Saccharomyces cerevisiae S288C: one gene and its partners. Changing the gene in region 2 together with the main gene of any one other region gives a genetic interaction. Each region holds a gene or a part of one and is shown on either strand. Other genes may lie near its edges.

Region 1 (3,545 bases), on a different chromosome or scaffold from region 2:
ATTTGATTCATTGGATAATGAACACTACTTCTCGGAAACAAACAATGAAAAACAAAATTCAATTTAGCTTAGAAGCCCAATTGGAAATATTACTTCTTATTAAATCTTCGTTCATTAAAGGTGGCATCAATGTTAAATACACTTTTCCAGCAATAATCACAAATTTTTGGAAACTGATGAGGAAATGCCGTATGATACAAGAGTACCTTTTGAAAAAAAGACCCGATAACAAGACGTTACTTTCCCATTATTCCAATCTTTTAAAGCAAATGTTTAAATTTGTTTCTCGTTGTATCAATGATATCTTTAATTCTTGCAACAACTCATGCACAGATCTGATTCTGAAACTGAATTTACAATGTGCCATTCTAGCTGATCAATTGCAATTAAACGAAATTTCATATGATTTTTTCTCACAGGCCTTCACAATATTTGAAGAGTCTCTAAGTGATTCAAAGACTCAGTTACAGGCTTTAATATATATTGCTCAGTCTTTACAAAAGACAAGATCACTCTACAAAGAAGCTTATTATGATTCTTTGATTGTCAGATGCACACTCCATGGATCCAAATTATTAAAGAAACAAGACCAATGTCGTGCTGTTTATTTATGCTCCCACCTCTGGTGGGCAACGGAAATTTCAAATATTGGTGAGGAAGAAGGTATCACAGACAACTTCTACAGAGATGGTAAACGGGTGTTAGAATGTCTACAAAGGTCTCTCCGTGTGGCGGATTCTATAATGGATAACGAACAGAGTTGTGAGCTAATGGTCGAAATATTAAATAGATGCCTCTACTATTTTATTCACGGGGATGAGTCCGAAACTCATATATCGATAAAATACATCAATGGTCTGATCGAACTAATCAAAACAAACTTAAAATCGCTAAAACTAGAAGATAACAGTGCCTCTATGATTACCAACTCAATCAGTGATTTGCACATCACCGGAGAAAATAATGTGAAGGCAAGCAGTAATGCTGACGATGGCTCTGTAATCACAGATAAGGAATCAAATGTTGCCATAGGATCGGATGGTACGTATATTCAATTAAATACTCTGAACGGATCTTCCACGCTAATACGCGGAGTCGTAGCAACTGCTTCAGGTAGTAAATTACTGCACCAACTGAAGTATATCCCAATCCACCATTTTCGACGCACTTGTGAGTACATTGAAAGTCAAAGAGAAGTTGACGATCGTTTCAAAGTCATATATGTATAGTTAAATAACGTACTTGCTCTTCGTACATGCCCAAGATAAAAAAAAACTACACAAATAAAGCTAATAAAAATTTACCTAAAGAAGGATCATAGATTAAGTGGAAGGAAACTTGTACATAATTCGAGTTTATTTTCAACTAAGATATCAAGGATTGTTTACTATAAAAACACTTAATTGGGTAATTTCTATTTTTTACTTTTTTTCTGTGTTAAAAAAATGGGTCGCGCCAATGCGCTCACAAATCTATTCTTATCCCTAACTTACATCTACATGTAAAGCGCCACTAAGAGAGCTATAGCTTATCATACATTTACATCAGGTAAAGTATCATTTTGGCCAGTGGATACGAATTTAATATATAATCTTTGCTTTCCCTTCGCTCTTAAATTCACCAAGCAAGTTTGTTAAGAAATAAAGGAAAGGGGGCTCAAAAACCGAATCAAGTAAGACAAGAAACATGGGGTACAGTACTATTTCCAACGATAATGATATCAAAGTATGTGTGATAATGGTTGGCCTACCAGCTAGAGGAAAGTCTTTTATTTCCCAAAAAATTATCAGGTACTTATCGTGGTTATCCATAAAAGCCAAGTGTTTTAATGTGGGAAATTACAGAAGAGACGTGAGTGGAAATGTCCCAATGGATGCTGAGTTTTTTAACTTCGAAAATACAGATAATTTTAAACTCAGAGAATTGGCTGCCCAAAATGCCATAAAAGATATTGTTAATTTTTTTACTAAAGAAGACGGATCTGTGGCAGTTTTCGATGCTACTAATAGTACACGTAAAAGAAGGAAATGGCTTAAAGATATATGTGAAAAGAATAATATTCAACCGATGTTTTTAGAGAGCTGGAGTAACGATCATGAACTGATTATAAATAACGCTAAGGATATCGGTAGCACATCTCCTGATTATGAAAACTCTGAACCTCATGTGGCGGAAGCTGATTTTTTGGAAAGAATTAGACAATATGAAAGATTTTATGAACCTTTGGACCCCCAAAAAGATAAGGATATGACGTTCATTAAGTTGGTCAATATTATTGAAGAAGTAGTAATTAATAAGATCAGAACATATTTGGAAAGTAGGATTGTATTTTATGTTATGAATATTCGTCCTAAACCAAAATATATCTGGCTCTCCCGTCACGGCGAATCGATCTATAACGTAGAGAAAAAAATTGGCGGGGATTCATCACTGTCTGAAAGAGGCTTTCAGTACGCTAAAAAATTGGAGCAGTTAGTGAAAGAGAGCGCAGGAGAAATAAATTTGACCGTGTGGACTTCCACCTTAAAAAGAACACAACAAACGGCAAATTATCTTCCCTATAAGAAACTGCAATGGAAAGCACTTGATGAATTAGACGCTGGCGTTTGTGACGGAATGACGTATGAGGAAATTGAAAAAGAATATCCTGAAGATTTTAAAGCACGTGATAATGACAAATACGAGTACAGATATCGTGGTGGAGAATCATACAGAGATGTAGTGATTCGTTTAGAGCCCGTCATTATGGAATTGGAGCGCCAAGAAAATGTTCTCATTATAACTCATCAAGCCGTACTTCGGTGTATATATGCATATTTTATGAACGTTCCACAGGAGGAATCCCCTTGGATGTCAATCCCACTACACACATTGATCAAGCTGGAGCCTAGGGCCTATGGCACAAAGGTCACCAAAATTAAAGCAAACATCCCTGCAGTGAGTACATATAAAGAGAAGGGTACAAGCCAAGTAGGTGAGCTTTCTCAAAGCTCAACTAAACTTCATCAACTGCTCAATGACTCTCCTTTGGAAGACAAATTTTAAATTTTACTTTTTATTTTTGTGTATCTTAAGTCCAAGCTTACTTGTGGCTGATACGCACAATCTTTTATGTACGAAAAGATCAGGAAACGTAGCATTGATGGTTTTTTATGTACGTCTGCAGCATTGTATGTAATTATTACCCAAACTAATTTTAAGTGAAATTGTAGAACGCCGCGGCGGAAGTATTTTTGAGTAAAAAAAAAAAAGTAAGATTCGAAAATGAAATTATACAGTACAGAAAACGTAAATATACAATAAAGGTTGAATAAACATACTAGATATCCTCCTTTCTTTTTGCATGTACATAGTACTGGTGTAAACTCGATATACCGATGGTCAGATTTTTTGGTTTAAACAAGAAAAAGAACGAAGAAAAGGAAAATACAGACTTGCCTGCAGACAATGAACAAAACGCAGCAGAAACGTCGTCTAGCAACGTATCTGGAAATGAAGAAAGAATAGACCCAAACAGTCATGATACGAACCCTGAAAATGCAAAC
Region 2 (8,420 bases):
GCACCTGTCGTTCAAAATCGCCAAACTGCAAAGGTTCTGAACGATTTGATTTAATTTTCAATGGACAGTTTTTCGTAGATAAATGGCGCAGATTTGTAATAGGTAGAATTGTGTATGTCCCTGCGCTACCCATATGTTTAAACAGCGGTGAAGTGACCATTTGAGCCAAAGGCTGGGAATAGACACGGCATATACATTTTAACATGCCAATAAGAACATTAAAGTGAACGCTTGGAAGATTTGAAAGCCCATTCTTGCCAGTACGCCAATAAAGTGTGTCGCGCAGAATAGATCTTCATGTAATTCCTTTTTCCCTTTTATGCAATCTATAATGTTAATCAGCGTAGATCACTATATACGCTTTTTTTTTTTTTTTTCAGCTCCGATTAGAGAGCAAAAGAGATGTAACATCGATCCTGCTATAATTAGAATACAAGTGTTGATCTTTAATTGTACTGTTTCTGCGAAAGCTATCGAGCATTTGGCTGTATTCCACTGTCCATTGTATTTTTAACTCTCCTTTTTATCATTCTGAAACATAGAGCTGTTTTGACAAAATTCAGTTTTTTCTCAATTAGTGCTTTCATTCATACGTTCGTTACAAGCTTTGAATTTTAACTTTATTTTCGGGCTTCCACCTTTGCTTCATTATTTTACTTCAGCTCTTTAGCTTTCTGTGACATTCAATTTTATTGTATGACAGCACGTCGTTTGATTAATATAGTTCCTAATACGTCTAAGCTAGACCCTTTAAAGGAGGAGGACTCAACGCATCTGAAACAAAATCAACCTAAGAAGTTTTCCACAAAGGAGTTGATGCTTTCAGAATATACCGAACGCAAAAGTTGCAGCCTTCCGTTGTCTAAATCCCGATCAGGCAGTAGTGCATCCAGTAGCACTACAGGTTCGAACGGAAAGAATATTGGAACAAGACGCCCTAGCTCCAACCTAGATTTCAATTTCGCTAGCCAAGATGTTGTTAAAAATGTATTAGGTAATAATAATCCACACGTACCCACAGCGAAGTGCATTAGGCCAATATCAGATGATTCTATAGGTACATCGAGCACAGAGATATTTTCTTCATCGCACTCAAATACGACATCTGATTCTTTATGTACATCAGATATAAGCTCAGAAGAGGGTGAAATAGCAAACAGTAAGATGGAGGATAACTGCTTCTTCAAAAGTATGAGAGAAGCTGACCATAGAAGCAATATTACGCCCTTAAAGAAAAGCCGACCGGGATCAATACTACAGAAAACACGTACAGCAAGTAGCGCTGATAAAACAATCTGCTCAATGAGTACCATAACTACATGCATTCCATCTCGTCAAAATTCGGTGTCAACTCCTAAACTCTCCAGGACAGTAGGGCTGCCTGGATCGAGCAATACAACCAACAGTATAGCCGCATCACAAACTTCATTCATAAGCGAGAATGACTCTCCTCTTAAACATCATTGCATGAGTACCGCAACTATCCAAGAACCAAAACTCATGCCGATCACAAAAACGCCGTATGTGCATTCCAATAGTACTTCTGTAATATTACCATATAAAACAACCCAACTTACTCCTTCTCAACGTTACCGTTTAAGGAAAGAGCAAAATGACCAATCTTTGCGTAAAGCCATAAAAATGAAAGAAAAATTTTATGAAGATCAAGACGTTAACTTGGAACTTCAAGAGGGCGATGTCGACGGCTCGTTAATTTGGAACATTCCAATGGCATCTTTATCGACCAGTTCTTTTTTAACATTATCTAAGTTTAATAGAAAAGAAATGAGTTTAGATTCAGCGCGGGGGGATGAAGAGATATTAATACAGGAGAACAATTGCGAAGGCAAACAACACTCATCTTCGGCTCTCTGTGTGGACAAAACTTTCCATCAGGTTCATAGTACTAGAAAACATACATCAAATTCAAGTAACACTTTAAAAGAATCATGTCTGGACTATAAGGAGCTTCCGCCAACATGCATTCCTGGTATATCTCCTGTGTCTGATTCACAGTACATCCAGGATACAATGAAAAATCTCTCCCAAATATACCTGCATAGTTCCGAAAAAATCTCCAAAAGTATTCTTTCTGGTCGTTCAAGATCTGTACAGAGTTTACCACTGGAATTTAAAGAAGCCAGTAGTCAGGGAATGGAAGACCTAATGCTAGTTTCAGAGGACAAACTAAAGGCCGTAAGTCATTTCCGTCCGAGTTGGCTCCCGCCCAAGGATTTCAAAGAGAGGAAATTGCAAGATAAACAAATCTACAAAAATATCGACTTAGCATCAATGGAAGAGTTGCAAAAAAATAAAGAACGTGACGAAAAAGCCAAAAAGAATGAGCAGAATAAGGTCAAATTCCAGCATTTACTGGACCGAGGCATTACTCGTAACTCGTCATTAAGTGAATTAAAGAAAATTATTTGGGAAACACCTTTGATATCTAAAGTACGGCTTCAAATATATAGTCAACTTCTACAAAGTGACAATTGCTTGATAACAAAATGTTTTATTGAATCATTTGAGGAAGTAATGCAGCTACTCAACAAAATGGATTTTCCCAAAGATAAAGAATTTGAAATAAGACAGCTTATTGAACACGATGTACAGGAAAAGGTTTTTTATAAAAATGGAACAGATAAGCAAGTGGTTTCTGACTTGATGCTATTACTGCAACTGAAATCTATATCTCAACAAGGTTTGGTTACTGGTGATGAGATGCTATTCTACCATTTTTTAACTGATCAATCTTTTGGGACTTTGAAGGAAACATGGGAAATGGTCAACTTGATACAGATGACGTGCTTCAGTGAAATTTGCAAGGAAAAATACGATTCAAGAATATTAAATCCCAGAGGAATTGTTGCCCATCTTTTACGAAAAGATGAGTTCAAAAATGAATTCAATGGCGGATGTTTGAATAGCAATACATGGTGGAACATATTGCAAAGAATGGACCATAAACTTTTTATGTGGGTAATGGATGTAATTATCGTTCATAATGGCCAAAACTTTGCAAACTACCCCGTAAAAATGGAAATATTCAAAGACAAAGTATGGGAATACTATAGATCTAAGAAGGTTATTGTAAATTATAAGATTTTGGTTTCACTAACAGTTAACGTATTGTTAAACTACCACTTCGGATATGATAATCTGAAACATTTATCAGATTTGGATGATAAGCATTTTTGTATTCCACTGTATACGGAGGATAGTATCGAAGAGGAAAACCTCAATAATATTTTCACAAAGTGGTGGTTGCACTACTACCGAAAATTACGTTAGCGTGTATGTGGCACGTACTAAAAGTTTGGTGACCAGACTATCTCTTCTTAAGTTCATTTTCACTCTGAAACTTATAAATGCATACATACAGAAATTACTTTCGATTAATATAATAATATATTTTTAATAAACAATGAACTAATGCCCTTATTGTGTTTTGTTATTAACCTTTTCATCACCATTTTTTTTTGCTAGCTTCTACGGCATTCACTTACGTGCTGCAAAATTTCGCAGCATGGAAGAAATTGTTCGCGAAGAAAAAAGATTTCGCTCAGTGATTTGTAGTGACAATAGGTACCAGTGTTATCACTAAGTATATCTTTTAGTATATCTCTTCGCTTGAGGAGGGATCAAAAAAAAACAAACGTAAACGTGCACATAAACGTCAAGTACTTTTTGCAGGCATTAATATTCGTCTCCAACAAAGACAAATAAAGAAGCAATCTTTTCATTACCTTAAGCCAGTATCTATTGATATCAATCGATAAGGTTCGTTGTTATCGGTGCTAAAAATTATAAAGTGAAAATAAGAATCTTTTCATGTCGTGCTCAAACGGCATCTGGCCTACTGTATCTAATTTGTGCGGATCATTATCCTTCTTCACCTCTGTTATTTCATTGTTTCCACAAATAATTGAGACTTATCGAGATAAATCTGTCGATGGGCTATCGCCATATTTTTTGCTGGCTTGGTTATGTGGGGATATTACCTCGCTGATAGGGGCAAAGCTAACAGGGCAATTGTTATTTCAGATACTTTTAGCAATTTATTTTCTATTGAATGATTCTTTTGTATGTGGTCAATATTATTACTATGGCGTGCTGCATGAAAATAAATTGGCGACTGTCGGCCATGAGCCTAAACCTCTTCTTCCCGAACTGGTTGAAAATGGTGAGCTTTTGAGGGAGGAAGAGGACATGATACAAGGTGGTAGCAGTGCAGAAAGCCCTAGAAGCAGTAGAAGAAGGTCTGCCATTACAGCAGCCTTGGCTATAGCTCATACTATAAGTACAGCTAGCGCATATCCGCTAAATGTAGGCTCCACCCAATCACAAGTGGGGCCTCCCGGAGATGGTAAAAACAGCCAGCTGGGTACAATTTTATCTTGGATTGGCGCTTCCTTCTACGTAGGCGCACGTATCCCACAACTAATCAAGAATTACAATAGAAAGTCTACAGACGGCTTATCTCCCTTCCTATTTGCTACTACACTACTCTGCAATATCACGTATAATTTGAGCATCTTCACAAGCTGTAGATTTTTAGATAATCAGAACAAGAGGGAATTCATCGTGAATGAGTTGCCCTTTATATTTGGAAGTGCTGGAACAATTGCGTTTGATTTGATATACTTCTACCAATACTATATCCTTTATGCAACTGATATGCAACTACGTGAACTGGAAAGAGAACTATACAGTCCTGAAGAAGACAGTGCAGCGCAACTAGTGACAGAACGTACATCACTGTTGTCTGGTGAAACGCAAACATAGTTTTCCCTACGGAGTACTACCATTTATATTTAAACAATGCACTCTGCTCTTGGGATAGTCCTTGCGAGACCCTTTTTTCCCAATAGGAATACTACGTTCGTACTCTGTGTAAAAGTACCCAACTATAGTTAGCGCCAGTTTTACGTAAAACCGTCTATGTCTTGTTTGCATTCGCAACAGCTACAAACACATATAGTTTGTCACACTAATATTAATAATGAAAGTTATTATGTATTCACTGTGAACGCTTCAGTATACAGTACGGCAGTAAGTGTTTCATTCTGTTCTGGATTAATAATCTTTCACTTTGCCTAGCCATTTGGGGGCGGGTTTTGGCTGGGTTAGCTTCTCCTTAGTCATGGAGAAAAAAAATCGCCCGCAAGTATCTCGAAAAAGGAAAAAATGCCCACGCGTATAAGAGTGGACCCAACTGCTCGAGGTTTCAAGAGCTTGTAGATTAATTTCTGTAGTTCAGTTATACTTGCCTACAAGTGCTATACAGCAAATAGCGAACAGTACGAAAGTAAACATCATATTATCAATAATGGTTCACAACAAAGTTACTATCATTGGTTCAGGTCCAGCTGCACACACCGCCGCCATCTATTTGGCCAGGGCAGAAATCAAGCCAATCCTATATGAAGGTATGATGGCGAACGGTATTGCTGCCGGTGGCCAGCTAACCACCACTACAGAAATCGAAAACTTCCCAGGTTTCCCAGATGGTCTAACAGGTAGCGAACTGATGGACAGAATGAGAGAACAATCCACGAAGTTTGGCACTGAAATTATCACGGAAACAGTTTCCAAAGTTGATCTGTCTTCCAAACCATTCAAGCTATGGACCGAATTTAACGAAGACGCAGAACCTGTGACGACTGACGCTATAATCTTGGCCACAGGCGCTTCTGCTAAGAGAATGCATTTGCCGGGCGAGGAAACCTACTGGCAAAAAGGTATTTCTGCCTGTGCCGTGTGTGATGGTGCCGTCCCCATTTTCAGAAACAAGCCATTGGCCGTCATTGGTGGTGGTGACTCTGCATGTGAAGAAGCTCAGTTCTTGACCAAGTACGGCTCAAAAGTGTTTATGCTTGTCAGAAAAGACCATTTGCGTGCTTCTACCATTATGCAAAAGCGTGCTGAGAAGAACGAAAAAATTGAAATCCTTTACAACACTGTTGCGCTAGAAGCTAAGGGGGATGGTAAATTATTGAATGCCTTGAGGATTAAGAACACTAAAAAGAATGAAGAAACCGATTTGCCAGTCAGCGGTTTATTTTATGCAATTGGCCACACTCCAGCAACAAAGATTGTCGCTGGCCAAGTCGACACTGATGAAGCGGGCTACATTAAAACTGTCCCAGGCAGCTCATTAACCTCCGTTCCAGGATTTTTCGCTGCTGGTGATGTTCAGGATTCTAAATACAGACAAGCTATTACTTCTGCTGGCTCTGGTTGTATGGCCGCTTTGGATGCTGAGAAATACTTAACTTCCCTAGAATAGATGAATTTTCCATTATAAAATAGATACACTCAAATTTTTGTATACTTATCCAACAAATCGTTACTTTCTCCTTTTCTTTAATAAAAAGCAAACCATGAATTTTATTTCTTTTCCCCATTATTAGAGAAAGCCAATACATAATCTACATATATTGCGTGTCTGAATTAAACTTTTTAGACACATGACATAGGCCATCGGCTTACTTTGTAACGCGTGGTTGCCTATACACCGACTATTAAGTTATGACTAATATTATTGCTGCGCTTCCCCACCTGCATTTTTCTTGTCGTCTTTGCCAAAAGGAAAAAAAAACCTACGCAGATTGACTCTCTAAAAAATGATTCATGACCAGACAATTCAGTAAACATAAACTCTGTTGCATTCATTCTTCTGGAAAACTTTATAATAAAGCATCTGATATTACAGCTACTGACAACTAAGTGAATTTAAACTGCAATAATCACAAGAAAACTTAGTATTCCCTTATCATGTCCGAGGCGACTTTGCTATCTTACACCAAGAAATTATTGGCTTCTCCGCCGCAATTGAGTAGCACAGACCTACACGATGCGTTGCTGGTTATATTAAGTCTTTTGCAAAAATGTGATACAAATAGCGATGAGAGTCTTTCCATCTATACCAAAGTTTCGAGTTTTCTCACGGCCTTGAGAGTTACTAAACTTGATCACAAGGCTGAATACATTGCGGAAGCTGCAAAGGCTGTGCTCAGACATTCCGACCTTGTTGATCTACCTTTACCCAAGAAGGACGAATTACACCCGGAAGATGGACCAGTAATCTTAGATATTGTAGGTACTGGTGGTGACGGACAGAATACTTTTAATGTTTCCACGTCTGCTGCTATCGTTGCCTCCGGAATTCAGGGCCTAAAAATTTGTAAGCACGGTGGTAAAGCTTCTACATCCAATAGTGGAGCTGGTGACCTAATTGGAACTTTAGGCTGTGACATGTTCAAGGTTAATTCATCGACAGTGCCCAAACTTTGGCCTGATAATACGTTCATGTTTCTACTTGCTCCTTTTTTTCATCATGGAATGGGCCACGTTTCTAAGATACGCAAATTTCTTGGAATTCCGACTGTTTTCAACGTACTGGGACCACTTCTACATCCAGTTAGCCACGTAAACAAGAGAATATTGGGCGTTTACTCAAAGGAACTTGCGCCTGAATATGCCAAGGCAGCCGCTTTGGTATATCCAGGAAGCGAAACTTTTATAGTTTGGGGACATGTTGGGTTAGACGAAGTATCACCTATAGGCAAAACTACTGTCTGGCATATTGATCCGACATCGTCCGAACTTAAATTGAAGACCTTCCAATTAGAACCTTCTATGTTTGGTTTAGAAGAACACGAGTTGTCGAAGTGTGCTTCATACGGCCCTAAAGAGAATGCGAGAATTCTAAAAGAAGAAGTCTTGTCCGGCAAGTACCACCTTGGCGACAATAATCCTATTTATGACTACATCTTGATGAACACCGCCGTGTTATATTGTTTAAGCCAAGGTCACCAGAACTGGAAGGAAGGGATCATTAAGGCAGAAGAAAGCATACATTCTGGTAATGCATTACGTTCTTTAGAACACTTTATAGATAGTGTGAGCTCCTTGTAGACATTATTTCATATGTTATACTTAAACTAGATAGAGACGTTTTATTTGTACTAAGCTGAACATTACCCTAATTACGCGTTATAAGTTTTAATCCTTCATTTTGAAGGAAAACAAATAAACAAAAAGTTGATGTGGAACAAATACAATGTGCGCGGATATCTTAAGCAACTTCGTTAGTTACAGTCCACACAAAGCGAAAAAGGGCTGATAAACACTCATGGACGAAGCGTCACATCTCCCAAATGGGAGCTTGAAGAACATGGAATTTACGCCTGTAGGATTTATCAAATCCAAGCGAAACACCACGCAAACACAAGTTGTATCGCCTACTAAGGTTCCAAATGCCAATAATGGTGATGAGAACGAAGGCCCTGTTAAGAAAAGGCAGAGAAGAAGCATTGATGATACAATTGACTCCACAAGGCTATTTAGTGAAGCTTCACAATTCGATGACAGCTTTCCAGAAATTAAGGCTAACATTCCGCCTAGTCCAAGGTCAG
Region 3 (8,225 bases), on a different chromosome or scaffold from region 2:
GTAGATTGTGTATACGCTAAAACATGGAGATAGAGAGAGATGGGAATTATGAACGGGAAAAACAGGTTTTATTTAAAGGATAATACTAACAAATCCATTTTTTTGAATGAGCATCCATTCATTCATCAATAATAATCTTCAACCAGGTAAGGGTCATTTAGTAGGTCGTTTAGCTTCCGTTGTTGCTAAGCAATTATTAAACGGTCAAAAAATCGTTGTTGTTAGAGCTGAAGAATTAAACATTTCTGGTGAATTTTTCAGAAACAAATTAAAGTACCATGATTTCTTGAGAAAGGCTACCGCTTTCAATAAGACCCGTGGTCCATTCCATTTCAGAGCCCCATCTAGAATCTTCTACAAAGCTCTTCGTGGTATGGTTTCTCACAAGACTGCTCGTGGTAAGGCCGCTTTGGAACGTTTAAAGGTCTTTGAAGGTATCCCACCTCCATACGATAAGAAGAAGAGAGTTGTTGTCCCACAAGCATTGAGAGTTTTGAGATTGAAGCCAGGTAGAAAGTACACCACCTTGGGTAAGTTGTCTACTTCCGTTGGTTGGAAATACGAAGATGTTGTTGCCAAATTGGAAGCAAAGAGAAAGGTTTCATCCGCTGAATACTATGCCAAGAAGAGAGCTTTCACCAAGAAAGTTGCCTCTGCTAATGCTACTGCTGCTGAATCTGATGTTGCTAAACAATTAGCCGCTTTGGGTTACTAAGAAATTAAAAATAGTTTTTCTTTAATACTTTACATTTTGTAATATAATCACAAATATTTTTTAGAAATAATAAAAACCAAAGAAACCATTCCTCCCCGTTACAGTTTAGATTACCTCCCCTTTTTCTTTCGTACTTTTTATATTTTTATCGTTTGATATTTACAAGAAATTAAATCTATCATATAGCCTTTATTTACTAAAGCCTATGCTTAAGGTTCTCGTATACACAAAAGGTAATGCAAGTGGATGGAATGGCCCGTACTAAGTTTGCAGATAGGCCCTTATAAAGTCCAACAAAACCATCATTAGCAATGATTAATTTTATCAAAGGAAAGAGCCTAAATTTTTGCTCATTGGCCCTGAAACTTTGTAAGTTTGATTTCAATAATTGAAAAGGGTAAACCAAAGTGACGGAGACCATTTTTCCCAACGATGTGATTTCAATGGTTTCAAGATTTGTTAAATGGATGTCAAGCCCATTTTCCCTCTTCCGTCGCAATTTTCTTTGCTTTAAGGTATCGTAAACTGCAAAATATAAGGCACCTTGCGAAACACCAAACAGTGCGGGTACAAGGCCCTTCCATAGGCCCTGGAAGCCATCAGTTCGTAACAGTTGTTGGACACCGTTGTACATAGAAGTGTACGCTCCTTGGGCGCCTTTACTTGTAGACATTATCCTGGTCTTTATAACCCAGATAGGGTTTGTTAGGATAGCTGTCATCAACCCACTGGAAGCACCGGCAGACAAATAAATAAGCGAATTCATTTTGTGGTCGTTCCCAACACCTTTAAGCTGTGTTTCCCCTGGCTTTGCCACTGACTTGTATATCAATTCTTTCGTGACACCATATAAACCGAAATAAACTCCCCATGCAATGGCATTTCCAAACAAATTTATGCTTAATCCGCGATACAGTTCGTTCGTAACACTACGTCCACTATTCGCCGACGAACGTATAATCTCTTTGATTACCATAAATGGGCCGTAATGGGCCTTTTGTGCGCTTGTAGCGGATAATTGCAAACGAACCTTCAGTAAATCTAATGGATGCACTACCAATGTGGTGACGGATCCCGCGGACAGACCTGAGATAACCTCCTTCTGCAGTGGCGTCCACTGGTGATCGACCATATTATCAAGAGCTTCCTGCTGCGTGCTGGTTTTGCAAAGTACAAAGACAAGATATTGTACATATTCCTATGAAAGCTACTGCTCTTCACGTACTCCTTCACTTTTTTTTTTTCAGTTTAAGTTTTCCAATTTTTTTGTAAGATGAACCTTTCAGCAAATCTGTTAAGAGTCAATTTCCTCGGTAAGAAATATAAAATATAAATGAATATAGATTATAAAACAGACTGTACTTAAACAGCCCCCGTCAATACGATAACGCAGTAAAATAAATGCTCATCATGATAAATCCAACAAAAAAATAAACGGAAGGAAACTGAAAAGAAAAAAAAAGGAAACGAAGAAAAACATAATTTATCGTTTGATAGCAGTAAGTCGCAGATCAAGTCGCGCCTGTATCCTTACAAACATGACGACATTGAGCTGTACAAAGCTATGACCAACCGTTCCATAATTAACTCTTTTCAACACATTGAAAATAAGACTTCCCCCATCGAAGCATCAAGTTCTTGCATGTCACAAGATACTTGATCGTAACCTCCTGAAGGTCCCTTTCAGAAACACATGGAGTGTAGTTTACTAGGAAGGAAGAAGAGACATCGAAAACTTTTTCACTTTATATAGGTGAGAAAAATGGTGCAAGAGAGCATGACCGTGTATGGTGACATATAAATGGTTGTTGGCAGCGAATTTAACAACACTGCAGATGTAGATGTCGTAGCTATCCTTCTCACGTTGTTGAATGCTGACTATTTTGTTATTAAGCAACGCCTTGTTAGTGCTTGTTTTACAAAGCGTATTAAATGGTATTTTATTTATGCTATCGCTTTATTATCTTTATTTTCATCACGTAACACGGTGTGTGCGCCATATTAATGTTGCAACAGTCGTGAGGTGATTAACAAACAGTATCAGACTAAACTCACCCTTTGGTGATATGCAATTTCTTGAGGCGCAAAAGGTTGATCCTGAAAGCTTTTGTGATAGACTACCTTCAAGCAAAGCGAACGTAAACGGCAAAGATGGATACCAGCAACCACAACCAAGACCACGACTCCCACGTGGCGGCACAGAGGGAGAACGACAATAATTATATGCCACCTTCCCCCTCCATGAGCGAGAGTTCTATGATTTTTGAAAGAAATGTAGAGGACCCATCATACCTTTATAAAACGGTGTCAAACAACGCTGCAAACTCTCTCTCTAGGCAGAGCAGCAGGACCAGTTTGTTCAATCATAATAATTCTAGTAATAGGAACTTCCATAACTTAAGCCAGAGATCGTCTGCTGTGAATCTACATTTGCAACCTTCTAGGACTAATGAGTCAATAGCATCGTACCAGACATACAATCCGGATTTTGTTGTGCAGACTCCACTGGATCACCGTCGTACCTTAGAGAATTTCGTCCCTCCTGCATTAGACGCTGGCTGTTCTATTGTAACTGACGACACGACTGGCCTTGATGACGTTGATATGGTTTATTCGAGAAGGCCATCTACCATCGGCCTGGATAGAGCCCTAGGTAGGACAAGAAGTCTTTCGTCACAATCTTTTGATAACGAAACGTCGCCTGCGCATCCAAGATCTCCCAACGACCATGGTTCAAGACTACTAAGGTTTTATTCCTACGCTGACATGTTGTCCGATGACAACAATAACAACGTTAGTAATGCGACATCAACATCATCAACTGCGAACCCCTTGAGAAGACCCCCAATGCAAGGTCACTACTCGTTCTCGTCGTCCCTTTTGAATTCTCCTTCTCATTTGCCTTCCCCCCCATCAGCTTCGGCATCACCACCTCAGCATATGAACTTCACCAACCCTTTCATCATATCTAGACGTTACTCTAACACAACGATCAACAATGCCAATGGGGGAACCAGCGCTGGAAGCACTACGGGGGCCGCACTATCAAGATCGCCATCGAACCAACAGTACTTACTTAAACAACAAAGGTCACCTTCAGGGAGCGCCCGTTCAAGAAGAAACAGCAATAGGCCCGGCAGTGCTGCCAACATTATGATCGGGAAACCTAAATCCAAATTCCATATGGAATCCAGTGGCAGTGAAGGGTTTTCTTCCGAAGAGGAGGACAACACTATGATTGAAAGAGATAAACTCAATCTAAAGCAAAAATTGCAGTCACAACTGGCACAACCACCATCAATTGCCAACATGGTTAACGATAATCACAATAATACTAATAAACACAAGAATACTATTAATAATAACATCAAAAATAGCCCTGCGTTCACAAACTCGAATCCAAGTTCAAAATCAAATTCAAACTCTACAATAACCTCTATGAATCCAGACACAACCAAATAAAGAAAACTGAAGGGCCGCGATTGTTCATTTCTTCAACCTTCTTCTCCTACTCTAAAAATTCATTTAAGTCTCTTTTTTCCATATATATAGATATATAACGGTATTTTATGTATGCACGTATACCCCAATAATGCCACTAATTTACTCCGTTTTCCAATCCATAATCAGCAAAGACCATATGTGATTTCAAATATAAAAAATGAGAAACATGTGAATATGTATATATGTTATGCGGGAACCAACCCTTTACAATTAGCTATCTAACTAGTCCTTTTTCGAGCTCCAGAATTTACCATCACCCTTATCATTCCATTCTTTGAATTTGTTCTTGGCTTCATCGTACTTTTTCAACGCTTCATCGTACTTCTTTTGGGCCTCATCTTTTAAAGCCTGCTTGTCATTGTCGACCTTGGAAGTCCATCCAGACCACCAGTGGCTGCCGTACTGTTTCAAGTCCTCCTTCGCCTTAGATAACGAGTCCATGGCATCGGACACGTTCTTATCCAGTTGTTTCTTTGAATTCTCATAATTCCATCTTAAATCGTCCATTTCGTCCTTGGAAAGTTGAGCGGCTGTTTCACCCCATCCTTCTAAACCTCTGGCTACCCGTTCAGCAATCTGTTGCTCGCTTTGCTCCCCTTTGTTGTAACCAAACCAGCCCTTTTCCTTGATCTTCTTCAGCTCGTCAAGACGTTTTTGCGCCTCGCTTGGCTCTGAAGAAGCATTTCTCTTGGCTTCCTCCAACTCTTCTCTACCAAACTCCTGTGCCGTATCACCCCAGCCTTGGACACTTCTTGCAGCGGCTTCTTCAGTATTAGCGTCACCCGTGTTATTCTTCAACAGGCGTTTCAAAGGATTACTGTTCCTTTCCTGTTGGTCTAGCTTGTCCGAAAGCTCATTAAAGTCTCTGGCTCTCCCGTACCTTTCGTACTCAATGGATGCTCTGTCCAGAGCGGCCTTCTTCTCTCTCATCACCGTGGACAAGAGCTCCTTCTCATTACGATCCACTGCCTCTTCGAAACGCTTCTTAGCAGTATCAAATTCCCCGATGGCTATGGCTTTCCTTCTTTCAGCCTCACTAAACCCCCAATTGAAGATGCTTTGCGAGGAAGAATCCTTGGCTTTTTGGCCTAGCTGCTTGCGTGTCTGAGCATCCTCTTCCGGTGATATCACACGCTTAGTTACCTTTGGAGCCTCTTCCCTAGCCTTTTGAGATACGCCCAGAAGCGCGTCTTTTAACGACAAGGCATCTTCCTTTATGCCTTGCTTTATGTTATGTAGCTTTCCCAACTGTGGGGGTGCTGAACTGCCGTACTCCTGGCCGTTGTAGTAAGCGGAGACGTTGCCCTCTCTTCTCTGACCCTTGGCCTTCTGTTCTCTGACCATGATGCTAGCTGTGATGGCAGCTGCCAATGCTGCACTGCCGACAATTATTCTTGATGACATCCTTATCTGCTTGTTTTATTAAATGATTAACGTTACTGGCCAATCAAAAATACCCTTTATTTCAAGAAAGGGCAAAGAAGCAGGACTTTAGCAAGAACCGTTTCCCCTTATATATACTCCTCTTCAAGGAACTCGACAAAATAAGGGTCAACAAACTCCTCCCTTAACCCACACGGGCCACCGGCGAGCTTGTGCTCCTGCGAATAGCAGTACACTATTGGTTGTTGCAAATCCTGACGATTCACTTTCAAACACCATGCAGGCAGGAGAGTCAAACAAGACTGTTTGCTGTGTTATTGTCACCGCTGATGGTTGTGATGACCACCGCTTACCTATGACGAGGGGCAACGTCTTCACATTTCATGTTTACCACCAATATGCCAATTATTTTAAGAAATCTGCATAACAGAAGGACGCCAGCTGGCCATAGCATTTATAGATTCCTGCATTAATGTAACCGTCCGCACACCGTATGTATCAGCTTGTCAATTATTATATGAAATGTATATATATTTACGAACTTCAATTTTGTCAACATATTTCTGGAACAAGACTGGCTGGAACGGCTCAGCACACACAGGACAGAATATCAAAATTCTCGAGTACTTTGAGAACCCCCTTCAAGTGAGGTACCACCCTTGGTTGTAGTCTTGTATATTAATCCTTCTTTTCTTTAGTATAAATCGATCCTTTCTATTATACAATTCGCCGGTAATTTTTCAGTGAAAAACGAGTTTTGCAGTCAAACCATTCCTGGATGTGCTATACAAAAAAAAGGTCCGAAGACGTGTAAAGGATATATAACGCCAGGTTGATCATCACTAACCATCATGTCTGATAATTTGTTATCTTTAGAGAATCCGGTGGTGCCTAGTCACTATGAGTTGCGTCTAGAAATTGACCCTAAGCAGTCGTCGCCCAATTTCAAAGGATCCGCCATAATCCATTTGAAATTCAATCCGAACTCCACCACCTTAGCTTCTATCGAAGACAGTTTTACCCAGTTCAAGTTACATTCCAAGGATTTGATTGTGTTGTCTGCACATGCCACCATAGGGTCTACTAAGTTTGATCTAAAAATTTCTCAGGACACTGGAAAGCATTTGTCGATTTTCAACTCTGAATCTCCTATTCAATTGTCCAACGATTGCCCTCTGATTTTGTCCGTGCAATACGTGGGTAAAATTCGTGACATAAAAACACATCATGATAAGACTTTTGGTATTTTCAAAACCAATTTTATGGATCGTAAAACCGGTACTGCCAATAATCACGTCGTTGCTACTCACTGCCAACCGTTTTCCGCTAGCAATATTTTCCCATGTATTGACGAGCCTTCAAACAAGTCCACTTTTCAATTGAACATTGCAACGGATGCACAATATAAAGCCGTTTCCAATACTCCTGTAGAGATGGTCGAAGCTTTGGATAGTTCTCAAAAACATTTGGTGAAATTTGCCAAGACACCTTTGATGACTACTTCCGTATTTGGTTTTTCTATTGGTGATTTAGAATTTTTGAAAACGGAAATCAAGTTGGAAGGTGATAGGACTATTCCCGTTTCAATTTATGCACCTTGGGATATTGCTAATGCAGCTTTCACTTTAGATACAGTCCAGAAATATCTACCTTTGTTGGAATCCTATTTTAAATGTCCATACCCTCTGCCAAAGTTAGATTTCGTCCTACTACCATATTTAAGTGACATGGCAATGGAGAACTTTGGTATGATCACCATCCAACTAAACCACCTGCTCATACCACCAAATGCCTTGGCCAATGAAACCGTCAGAGAGCAAGCACAGCAACTCATTGTCCACGAACTCGTTCATCAATGGATGGGCAACTACATATCTTTTGACTCGTGGGAATCTCTTTGGTTTAATGAGTCTTTCGCTACTTGGTTAGCTTGCCACATACTAGAACAGAATGGTGACCTATCCCATTATTGGACCTCGGAACCTTATTTACTACAGCAAGTGGAGCCGACCATGTGCAGAGATGCAGCTGACGTTAATGGAAGAAGCATATTTCAGATTGCGCAACGGAACACTGGCATAGATTCTCAAACCTCCGATATTTTTGATCCTGAGGCATACACAAAGGGTATTATCATGCTGAGGTCCCTGCAATTGGCTACAGGCGAATCTCATCTACAAAAGGGCCTGGAAAGTGTATTTGAAGATACTAAAACATTTCATGCGAGAAGCGTCAAACCAATGGATATATGGAATCATATCGGAAAATTTTTGAAGTCTCAAAATATTACAAACTTTGTTTCATCTTGGACAAGAACGCCAGGCTTACCTGTCGTTAAGGTCGAAGTAGAAGAGAAAGACGGGAAAACGCAAACAAAATTGACTCAACACAGATTTATCAATCAATTATCTACTGAAGAAAAGGATCAGTTAGAAGATGTCCCATATCAGGTACCCTTATTCGGGGTTCTGCCAGATGGTAAAATGGATACTAAAAATGTACTATTGACGGATAGGACCTTAAAGTTCGATTATCCTATCTTAGTAATTAACCATTTAGCCCAAGGTTATTACCGCGTTTCATATGAGTCCGAAGAGTGCTATGCATTGATTAATGATAAAAT
Region 4 (10,027 bases), on a different chromosome or scaffold from region 2:
ACTAATGCTTCTTCTTCCTCTTTGGACCAAGTTCTTTTCGCCTTTGGTTTTCTTAATCCGATACTACCATTATTGTTGCTGTTACTGCTGTTGTTATGAGAGGAATGAGGACCAGAGCTGCTGTTGCTCATCGAGGCCGCAACAGCGGCATCCACAATGGATTGTGTGATAGCGGGGTTTTTGGAAGACACATCTGTGGTAGGTGTATGTGTGCTGTAATGATTCGGACGAGCAGTTGACAAAAAAGCAGACGCACTGCTTGGCTGATTTTGGTCGTCCATGAATTCTACGGTCCTGGTCCCTGTAGAAAAGAGTACTTGAGGATCAAACTCGTTGACATCAAAGTCATATAATGGTGATTTTCCGCGACCCTTTCTGCCCCATATGATGAGACCCATATTTTTATTACAATAATCCAGCAACTCTCTGATAAATTGAGCCCATTCGTAGCTCTGGGTCAGAGAGTTAAAATCTTGGACGATCTTTAAATTTTCTCTCCGACGATCGCACCTTTCGACGAAGTCCTTCTCCGATGGAGTCAAAAGTGTAATGTCTCCAGAATCGCCGGTTCTTCTCTGCACGAGAATATCAGCCAGATTGGATGGGAAGATTAAGTCTAGTAGCTCTTGTTTCTTTTCTAAAGAAATTTCGTTCGTCTCGTCCTGAAACTCTTTCAAGCCGGCAATGTAAGCCTGTGTTTTCAGATCAAGATATAGGATAGCCTGCGATTTCAAAAACTTTCCGCTTTGTTCCAGGGAGTTGTTACCGACAGTGTTTGTATTTGGACAGAAAATATCGAGAAATATCGACTGTAGCAGCTCAAACCCGTAATTAAGGCAGTTCAGCGACGTCAATAGAAATGTTAGCAGATTCGCCTTTCTTATGGCAGTAATAATAAACGCTTCGTGGCCTCTCAATATAAGGGGGGGAGGGGAGTTGGGAAACCATAAACCAGGCGCCACGTCGTGAACAGACAGTAACGGAGATCTGGTGTGGTAAATCATTCTGATCTGCTTAAAGAGCTTGACTAACGTTTGAAAAATTTCTGTTTCGCCTGAGCTTAGGAAAGCCGTCTGGTCCGTCAAAACCGCTATAATATTGGGAGAGTTGGCATTAAGGATAAGAAACCTCAGTAGTTGAGTGGAGATATTGTCCAGCAGACATAATGAGCATATGGTCAACCTAGTTCTTGCAGGCAGGCTTTGGATGATGTCATTGAAGCGGTTTAAGCTTTCGTTATTATTGGGCACTTGCGAATCCATGACAAATGGGGAAAGAAGTGAGTAAAGAAAAACTAATGTAAAATGATTTCTGTCGCAGATGGGACAGCCACAATCTTAAATGTTGGCAAGGATATAGGAGCAAAACGCCAATATTGAGATGATTGTTTATTATAATGTTTACAAGGAAGGGCAAAGCATTGAGGAAAATTAGTCGGAATGAGGTCTCGCCGGGCTTCTACGGAAAGGGGCGAAAATTAATAGGGCACGGTGCAGAATATTAGGGCTTCAAATGTTCAGATTTTAAAGCCTTTTCTTCAAATACAATAATTAATTTTACACACTGTACCTTGCATATATAAGAGAAGAGAAATTTATAAACAGTATAGTTAGTTAGTTAAGAATGGAATTTGAATAAAATCATAAAGGAGATATTTACCGAATAAGTAACAAATAGAGAAGGGAGAGATTAAAAAATGAAAATTTACAGTACCGCCAACAAACACTTGAATAAGATTGAAAATTAGAGAGAAAAAAATTTAGAAATAATACAAAATACTAATAGTGATGGGACACAAAAATGAAGAAAGAAAATAGGTTTGATAGTATTGCTATCACCATTGACATTCTCGTTTGGATATTCACTTTTTACGTGGAGAGTTTGACCTTCTTCTTGTTTAGTTTAATAATGCCGGAGGGGCCCTTTGGTTGCACTAACTCGCCGTTTTCAACACATTTCTTGATAGCGCTATTGAACAGATAGTCAAAATTTGAGCTTGTTTTCAACTTGGAGGAGAAAGTGTCCTTGACATACTTCTTTAAAACGATACGGCTGGAGCCCTTACCGTCATTAAGTTGAGGCATGCTTTTAAGGATCATTTCCTTGTAGGTCAATGAAGAAGGCGAAGAGGCCTTCTTGGCGGTAACAGTAGGCGATTTTTTTTTCACTACTTTCTTTGGCGCTAGCTTCGTGGATGCGGCTTTCGCTTTTGATGCGGTTGCACTCACAGAAGTGGCGGCTTGCTTGGGTTTTGGACTGACCTCTTTTTCTTTCTTTACTTCTGGAGATTTCTTCTTGGCCAGTTTCACAGCACCAGCGGGTCCCTTTGGCTGTTCAAAATCGCCGGCCTCCACACCCTTCTTTATGGCATTGTTGAAGTACAAATCAAAGTTGCTTGCGGATCCGACGATCGGGTAGTTTTCCTTGATAAACTTCTTGAGTGCCGGACGACTGGATCCCTTACGTTCCTTCAAAGCCGTGAGCCCTTCAATGATCAACTCCCTGTAACTCTTGGAGGAAGCTTCCTCCTTTTTTGCCGTGGTTTTCTTGATAGCGGCCTTGGAAGTTGATTTCTCCTTGCCTTTGCTGGTTGCAGGCTTCTTGCCCTTACTTGTGGTCTTGGTAGTGGATTTCTTGGGTGCCATGTTGCTTTAGTTGTATTATAATTGCTTCCCTCGCTGCCAAGCATTATCAGGTGCCCATAAATAACAACTCCCCAAATCTATAGTTGCTCCTCCTCTTTAAATAAAGGCAGATAAACAAAAAACTTTGACCGCCCGCTTTTCCACACAAAAAACAAACAACAGCAGAAAACGCGACGCGAAAATGAAAAGCCAAAGAGAACAAACAAAAATCATCCATCAAACCTGTTATTGTGCAGAATAGCTTTTACCTAGACGCAAGTCCCTAGGAGGGGGCATTTTTGACACAGAATAGCATTTCATCAAAGCAAACAGCAACTTCTTGGAGATTTGTATTGCTTGGCATGTCAAAATCTAGCGGTCACATCAGTAGGGTAACAAAATAGCACGTCAGGGTTAAGGCGGCCTACTGCTTAGGGTACGTGGTAAGTGATGTAAAATGTGAGAAGGAGAAACTAGAAAAAAATTTTCCTTTCTTTTTCCTAGCGATGAGATGAGATGAAATTTTTCGAACAAATGATTTTTGGCACAGTTTACATATCAGTTATATTGGCTGTCGTCACAGGAACTACAAGTACAAACCAGAACCATTTTAGCTGATCACCAGAATGACGCAATCCCTAGGTATCGAACAGTATAAACTGTCAGTCGTATCTGGTGGGAAACCCGCTTTGAATAATCTCAGTTCAGTAACCGGCAATAAGAATATCGCCCGCCTATCACAAGACCAACGAAACTATATTATACCCTTTAACAATCAGATCAAGGTGTATTCTGTGGAAACTAGACAATGTGTTAAGACTCTAAAGTTTGCAAATAACTCCTTGTTATCCGGAATATTTCTGCAAGAAGAAGAGAATAATGAATCGATTGTAAAGATTCTGCTGGGTGATATAACCGTTCCGCAACAAGAAGACGCTCATCTGATTACCGTATTCACCAATAATGGTCATGTAATTGTTTTAAATTATAAGGGGAAGCTGGTCGAGTCCCCTAAGCATTTCAAAATCTCTTTGGCAGATGAAAAGCTTGCAAATGTTTTCCATAGCGAGGGCAACTATAGAATTTTGACAACGTTCAAGGACCCTAGTCAAAAGGCACATAACTCTTTGCAATCGTACAGGTTATATGCATTAACCTTTGACGATGCTAAAAAGCAATTTGAAGTGGCTCATCAGGCAGAATGGCACAACGTTATCTTGTCAAATATTTCTTCCAATGGTAAACTGCTAGCGCATATGTGCAAAGACGTCTCAACAAAAGATCACGAACACAAATCCATCTCAGTTGTTTCGCTTTTTGATGATTCTGTAAATTTAAGCTTTCCCCTCGGTTCCATCCTTTCTTCACAGACTCAATCCCTATCCTATAACACAAGGTACGTTTCTAGCATGGCCATAGACAATATGGGTCAACAACTGGCTGTTGGATTTGCCTCCGGAGTTATAAGTATCGTAAGCCTGGCCGATCTACAAATAAGACTGCTCAAATGGCATATAGACTCTGTGCTGTCACTCTCATTCTCTCACGATGGATCCTATTTGCTATCTGGTGGTTGGGAAAAAGTTATGAGTTTATGGCAATTGGAAACAAACTCTCAACAATTCCTGCCTCGTTTGAACGGTATTATAATCGACTGTCAGGTATTGGGACCTCAAGGGAACTACTACTCTTTAATCCTACAAATGACTGAAAACAATTCAAATTCTGACTACCAATTTTTACTTTTGAATGCTTCTGATTTGACCTCCAAATTGTCGATTAACGGGCCATTACCGGTGTTCAATAGCACCATAAAACACATTCAGCAACCAATCTCGGCCATGAATACCAAGAACTCCAACTCAATTACCTCTCTCAATCACTCTAAGAAGAAACAATCTAGAAAACTAATTAAATCGAGAAGACAAGATTTCACCACTAATGTAGAAATAAACCCTATTAACAAGAACTTGTATTTCCCACACATTTCTGCTGTTCAAATTTTTGACTTCTATAAAAATGAGCAAGTTAACTATCAGTATTTAACATCAGGTGTCAACAATTCTATGGGTAAAGTTAGATTTGAACTGAATTTACAAGACCCAATAATAACTGATTTGAAGTTCACCAAAGATGGGCAATGGATGATTACATACGAAATTGAGTATCCGCCAAATGACCTCTTATCTTCCAAGGACTTAACTCATATCTTGAAATTTTGGACCAAAAACGATAATGAGACAAATTGGAATTTGAAAACGAAAGTAATAAATCCACACGGGATAAGTGTCCCAATTACCAAGATATTGCCTTCACCAAGATCAGTTAATAATAGTCAAGGCTGTTTAACGGCTGACAACAACGGTGGACTGAAATTTTGGTCCTTCGACTCTCATGAGAGCAACTGGTGCTTGAAAAAAATTTCTTTACCAAACTTTAATCATTTCAGTAACTCCGTTTCTTTAGCTTGGTCTCAAGACGGGTCTCTAATATTCCATGGTTTCGATGACAAGTTGCAAATTTTAGATTTCGACACTTTTAAAAAGTTTGAATCATTGGAAAATACAAAGACGGTCAGTGAGTTCACGTTAGACTCTGAAATCCAAACCGTCAAGTTGATTAATGACACAAATTTAATAGTGGCCACCAGGACTACATTAAACGCCATCAACTTATTGCGGGGTCAAGTCATAAATAGTTTTGACTTATATCCGTTTGTTAACGGAGTGTATAAAAATGGTCACATGGATAGGCTTATTACTTGTGACGAAAGGACAGGCAACATTGCCCTGGTTATAAATCAACAACTAACTGATCTCGATGGCGTACCAACTATCAATTACAAATCCCGTATTATTATATTCGATTCTGACTTATCTACAAAATTGGGTAATTTTACGCATCATGAATACATATCTTGGATTGGTTGGAATTATGATACTGATTTCATATTTTTGGACATAGAATCAACACTAGGTGTTGTCGGAACCACTGTGAATACTCAACTATCTGATGAAGTTAATAACGAAGGAATATTGGATGGCCTGGTAAGTAACACCATCACAACTTCGGCATCCAATAGCGATATTTTTGCAGAACAATTGCATAAACTGTCGTCTAGGGGCAAAAAAAGTGACACTAGAGATAAAAATACCAATGATAACGACGAAGATGAAGAAGATATCGCTTTGGAATTTATAAATGGCGAAAAGAAAGATAAGCTAGTCAATATGAATAGTTTTACGAGCATGTTTGACAACATTCAAAACGTGCAAATGGATACATTTTTTGATCGTGTGATGAAAGTATTAACATAGCTTTAGGGTTCTTCCATTGGATATCCAAAATAGATATAAAGGTATATATATATATATATATATATATATGTTTATAAAGCAAACCGAAAGCAAAAATATCTGTATAACTTAGTTACAAGGGAAGGGAAGAGAATGCATTGGTTAATAGGAACAGACACTTCGTAAAAAGCTTCACAATCATTAATGTTAATAGAACTATCATAATATACAAAAAATCTCTTCATACGATTTTTGTTTGATGAGCATCCTCAGTCAAGATGAATAAAATAATCTCTCCAAATAAGCCGCCTCTTTTTTTTTGAATTACACTTCTATAGCGTACATTTCCATGTAAGAAGATTGAAGTTTCAAACAATTGGGTAGCTTAATATTTGTCAAACTTCTTGGTAGGTGTTGTGTTTAAGAAAAAGGAGGCACCATAAACTATTAACTTTTTAGCTTGCCTCAACTGTCAACCGAATCAAATTTTAAAAGGCGTTAAACAAAAATGGCCTCGTCTCTTAACGAGTTAAACTTGGTTCAAGTACTTGAACAAGCAAGTAACCCACAACATATTAGGTCAGATGTTCAAAAATTAGCCGAACAACAACTAAGACAATGGGAGACTCAAGCGGGATTTCATTACTTATTACAGTCAATCTACCTTAATTTATCTAATTCTTTACAAATTAGATGGTTGGCGGTAATTCAATTTAAGAACGGCGTGGATAAATACTGGAGATCCACTAGAATTAACGCTATACCTAAAGATGAAAAAGCCTCGATAAGAGGTCGTCTTTTTGAAATGATCGATGAACAGAATAATCAACTTTGTATTCAGAATGCCCAAGCTTCCGCAAGGATTGCAAGGCTAGATTTTCCCGTAGAGTGGCCAACCTTATTTGAGGATCTAGAAAACCTATTGAACGATGAGATCATCAGAAAAGATTCAGTTAAGATTTACAATATATTGATGCATATAAATCAAATCGTTAAAGTATTAGGTACTGCGAGAATAGGAAGGTGCCGACCCGCTATGCAAAGTAAAGTTCCTTTGATATTACCACTAATTGTCAGGATTTATTTACAATCATTTGAAGAATGGACGACATCCTCCAATCTCAACTACGAGGATCTTTCCAGTTTACAAGTTTCTTACCTAGCTTTGAAAGTGCTCAGAAGGATAATTTGTGAAGGATACGACCGCCCTCAAACCGATCAGTCTGTTTGCGATTTTATTAAACTATCCGTTTCACACTTTGAGATGTTAATTTCAAACCATGAAAACTTCAAAAAGTTTGATATTTACGAAAAGTTTATCAAATGCCTAGGAAAGTTATATTTCAATTTAGTCACTGGCTCTCCGGCTAATTTCATATTACTGCCATGCTCTACGCAAATTCTAATCACTTATACTAGGCTAATTTTCGATAAGGCCCCTAAAGTATATAGAGAGAATTCTGATGTCACGGGGGACTTTTGGGAACAGACTGCTATTAGAGGGCTTTTAATTTTGAAAAGGGTCATTAATTTCATTCACAAAAAGGGGGCAATTACGTTAAAAGCAAGAAGTGATAAACTAACCATAGATGCTTCTATCAACAAAATCAACACAGAATTTCTGAATGAGAATTTGATAACAAGGTTGGTTGACACTTTAATGGAATGGTACTTGAGGTTAAGACCAACTGAATTAGAAAATTGGTTTATGGATCCAGAAGAATGGATAAACGAACAAATGGCCACGAGTTACGAATATCAAATCAGACCATGTGCAGAGAACGTTTTTCAAGACTTAATGAATACTTTCTCTGAGCTGTTGGTTCCCTACCTGTTAAAGAAAATTGAAAATGATGCTTCAAAGCTATCAAACTCATTAGACGATTTTTTAAGGAAAGACGCAATTTATGCAAGTTTCCAATTAAGTGCATCCGCTGTTAGTGAAATGGTAGATTTTGACAGGTTACTAATTCAGGTTTTTTTACCAGAAGCTACAAATACAAACATATCAGGCGACGAATTAAGGATTATCAGAAGAAGAGTTGCTTTAATTATAAACGAATGGTCTACTGTGAAGTGTTCGGAAGAATCTAAAAGTTTATGTTACAAGTTATTTACAAACTTCCTGACAGATGAAGACGACAAAGTTGTTTTGTTAACCACAGTCCAGACTGTCAGAACCATGGTTGATGACTGGAACTTCAACAAGGATACTTTTCAGCCATTTTTAACTGAAAATGTTCATTTATTGTTGAGGAAAATTTTACCATCTGTGTCGTTAACCGAGACAAGGCTATATGTTTTAAACACCTTGAGCGATATCATAATTCAAACAAAACCTTTAATTAGCAGGGATCTATTAGTCGAAATTTTGCAAATCATACCAAACCTTTGGGAAATAGCAACAAATAATGCTAGTGAGGCTATTTTGGCAAACGCATTGTTAAGGTTATTGAGAAATTTGGTATCATCTTTGGGATCACAGTCACATTTAACGTGGGATATCGCCATACCTGTGGTTGCATTAGCCTGTGATCCCTCTTCTATGCAATATCAGTTGTTAAGCGAAGACGGGTATGAACTATGGGGCATGCTTCTTCAAAATTTTTCATCCCACGATCAAGAGTTTGACGATAAGTTCGTTGAATTGGTGCCATTTCTAAAGTATGGTATTGAGACACACACAGAGATTCTCCCAACTTTACTTGAAATTATCAAAAGTTATGCTCTGATTCTGAATCCTGTGGATTTTTTCTCTAACAACACATTTCAAGATATTTTTAAACAAATGTCTAAATATCTTTTAAAGTTAAGGGAAGATTCATTTCAGTTGGTTTTAGAAATCTGGGAAATTTTGATATTATCCAATGAGTCGGATTACGAAAATCTGTTATTGCAAAAATTCTATGAAACCGGAGTATTATCAGCATTATTCGATGCCATTTTCCTGGAAGAAGCTCCTTCATCTTATTTATGCTCGCAAATCATTCAAATCATCGCTAGAATATCCTACGTGAATCCAGACGCCTTAATGACTTTTTTAGCTACATATCATGACAATCTACCAACTTCTAACGAAAATGCACGCATGCCGGAATCAATAAGAAAAATTGTGTCTAAGGATCAGACGTATGATTCCGTTGTAAACAAGCTTTTAACCGGATGGATAGTATGTTTTAGAGATATCTTTGATCCTAAATTCAAAAAAGTTCACATATTAGGTATTTCAAGTTTACTAAGGACTGGTTTAGTTCCTATTTTGACTGAGTTTTCATCCATCGCATCTTTATGGATCGAAATGCTCGAAGAAATTAATGAAACTAATCGTGGGGATTGCGAAAAATACCACTTGAATGATATTGTTACAGAGCAATCAATTGCATTCCATCCTTTAACTGCCGAACAATTAAGATATCATCAATTATGCAAAAACAATGATCCAGTGCATAACATTAGTTTAAAAGATTTTATTTCCCAATCAATGGAATATCTAGAATCACATTTAGGAGTAGAAAGGTACCAAGAATTTTTGAAGACTATTAACCCTAGTTTACTAGAGAACTTACAAATGTTTTTATCCATCCAGCCTCAAGAGGCTCGTCCATGATAGTAATAAGTACTAAATAAAAGTAAAAAATTGTATATAGTTCGACTAACAACATTACAGTGGTATCTTTTGATCGCGCATTCTATACTTTTATTTTGCTACTAATTAGATGTCGCAGTTTTTTTTGTTTGCTTTTTGCGTAATACAAAAACAAACGCGAAAAGTGTTCATGTAATATAATGAAGTAAACCAAGTCTCACGGAATAAAATCACCTTCTTCCAATTTTGTAAAAGTTTAACCAAAGATCCAAAGTGGCTTGTAGGAATAATGGATTATAGTAACTTTGGAAACAGTGCCAGTAAAAAGTTTCAAGACGATACTCTAAACAGAGTAAGAAAAGAGCATGAAGAAGCCTTAAAAAAGTTGCGAGAAGAGAACTTCAGTTCAAACACGTCAGAATTGGGAAACAAGAAGCACTATAGAGCACAGGAAAGGATGAGTTCGCCATTACATAGATTGTCTCCCACAGGTAAATCAGACGATAGGAAAGTGAAGAGCC

The links.
Region 1: mutations in TRP4 (region 2) and FBP26 together harm fitness less than expected from each alone (positive genetic interaction), as found in Saccharomyces cerevisiae (one large-scale study listed by BioGRID).
Region 3: mutations in TRP4 (region 2) and VHS2 together harm fitness more than expected from each alone (negative genetic interaction), as found in Saccharomyces cerevisiae (one large-scale study listed by BioGRID).
Region 4: mutations in TRP4 (region 2) and KAP120 together harm fitness more than expected from each alone (negative genetic interaction), as found in Saccharomyces cerevisiae (one large-scale study listed by BioGRID).

The regions. Positions count from the first base shown.
Region 1 is NC_001142.9:128,785-132,329, reverse strand, and holds FBP26 (fructose-2,6-bisphosphatase), read left to right. Parts: upstream 1-1,686; coding exon 1,687-3,045; downstream 3,046-3,545. Other genes in the region: retromer subunit VPS35, read left to right, coding at 1-1,229; SSY5 (Ssy5p), read left to right, coding at 3,378-3,545. UniProt on the Saccharomyces cerevisiae protein: Monofunctional, high-specificity fructose-2,6-bisphosphatase, which releases phosphate from the 2-position of fructose 2,6-bisphosphate. Has no detectable 6-phosphofructo-2-kinase activity.
Region 2 is NC_001136.10:1,177,970-1,186,389, forward strand, and holds TRP4 (anthranilate phosphoribosyltransferase), read left to right. Parts: upstream 1-6,777; coding exon 6,778-7,920; downstream 7,921-8,420. Other genes in the region: ATP22 (Atp22p), read right to left, coding at 1-205; SBE2 (Sbe2p), read left to right, coding at 697-3,291; YPQ2 (Ypq2p), read left to right, coding at 3,832-4,785; thioredoxin-disulfide reductase TRR1, read left to right, coding at 5,330-6,289; SPC110 (Spc110p), read left to right, coding at 8,138-8,420. UniProt on the Saccharomyces cerevisiae protein: Catalyzes the transfer of the phosphoribosyl group of 5-phosphorylribose-1-pyrophosphate (PRPP) to anthranilate to yield N-(5'-phosphoribosyl)-anthranilate (PRA), the second step in tryptophan biosynthesis.
Region 3 is NC_001141.2:91,017-99,241, reverse strand, and holds VHS2 (Vhs2p), read left to right. Parts: upstream 1-2,866; coding exon 2,867-4,177; downstream 4,178-8,225. Other genes in the region: 60S ribosomal protein uL13 RPL16A, read left to right, coding at 147-715; flavin adenine dinucleotide transporter FLX1, read right to left, coding at 912-1,847; YIL134C-A (uncharacterized protein), read left to right, coding at 2,517-2,720; OM45 (Om45p), read right to left, coding at 4,442-5,623; TMA108 (Tma108p), read left to right, coding at 6,454-8,225. UniProt on the Saccharomyces cerevisiae protein: Can suppress the synthetic lethality of the hal3 sit4 double mutation when overexpressed, suggesting that it is involved in the G1-S transition.
Region 4 is NC_001148.4:306,960-316,986, forward strand, and holds KAP120 (karyopherin KAP120), read left to right. Parts: upstream 1-6,428; coding exon 6,429-9,527; downstream 9,528-10,027. Other genes in the region: TBF1 (Tbf1p), read right to left, coding at 1-1,262; HHO1 (histone H1), read right to left, coding at 1,869-2,645; NAN1 (Nan1p), read left to right, coding at 3,251-5,941; SPC29 (Spc29p), read left to right, coding at 9,796-10,027. UniProt on the Saccharomyces cerevisiae protein: Functions in nuclear protein import as nuclear transport receptor. Serves as receptor for nuclear localization signals (NLS) in cargo substrates.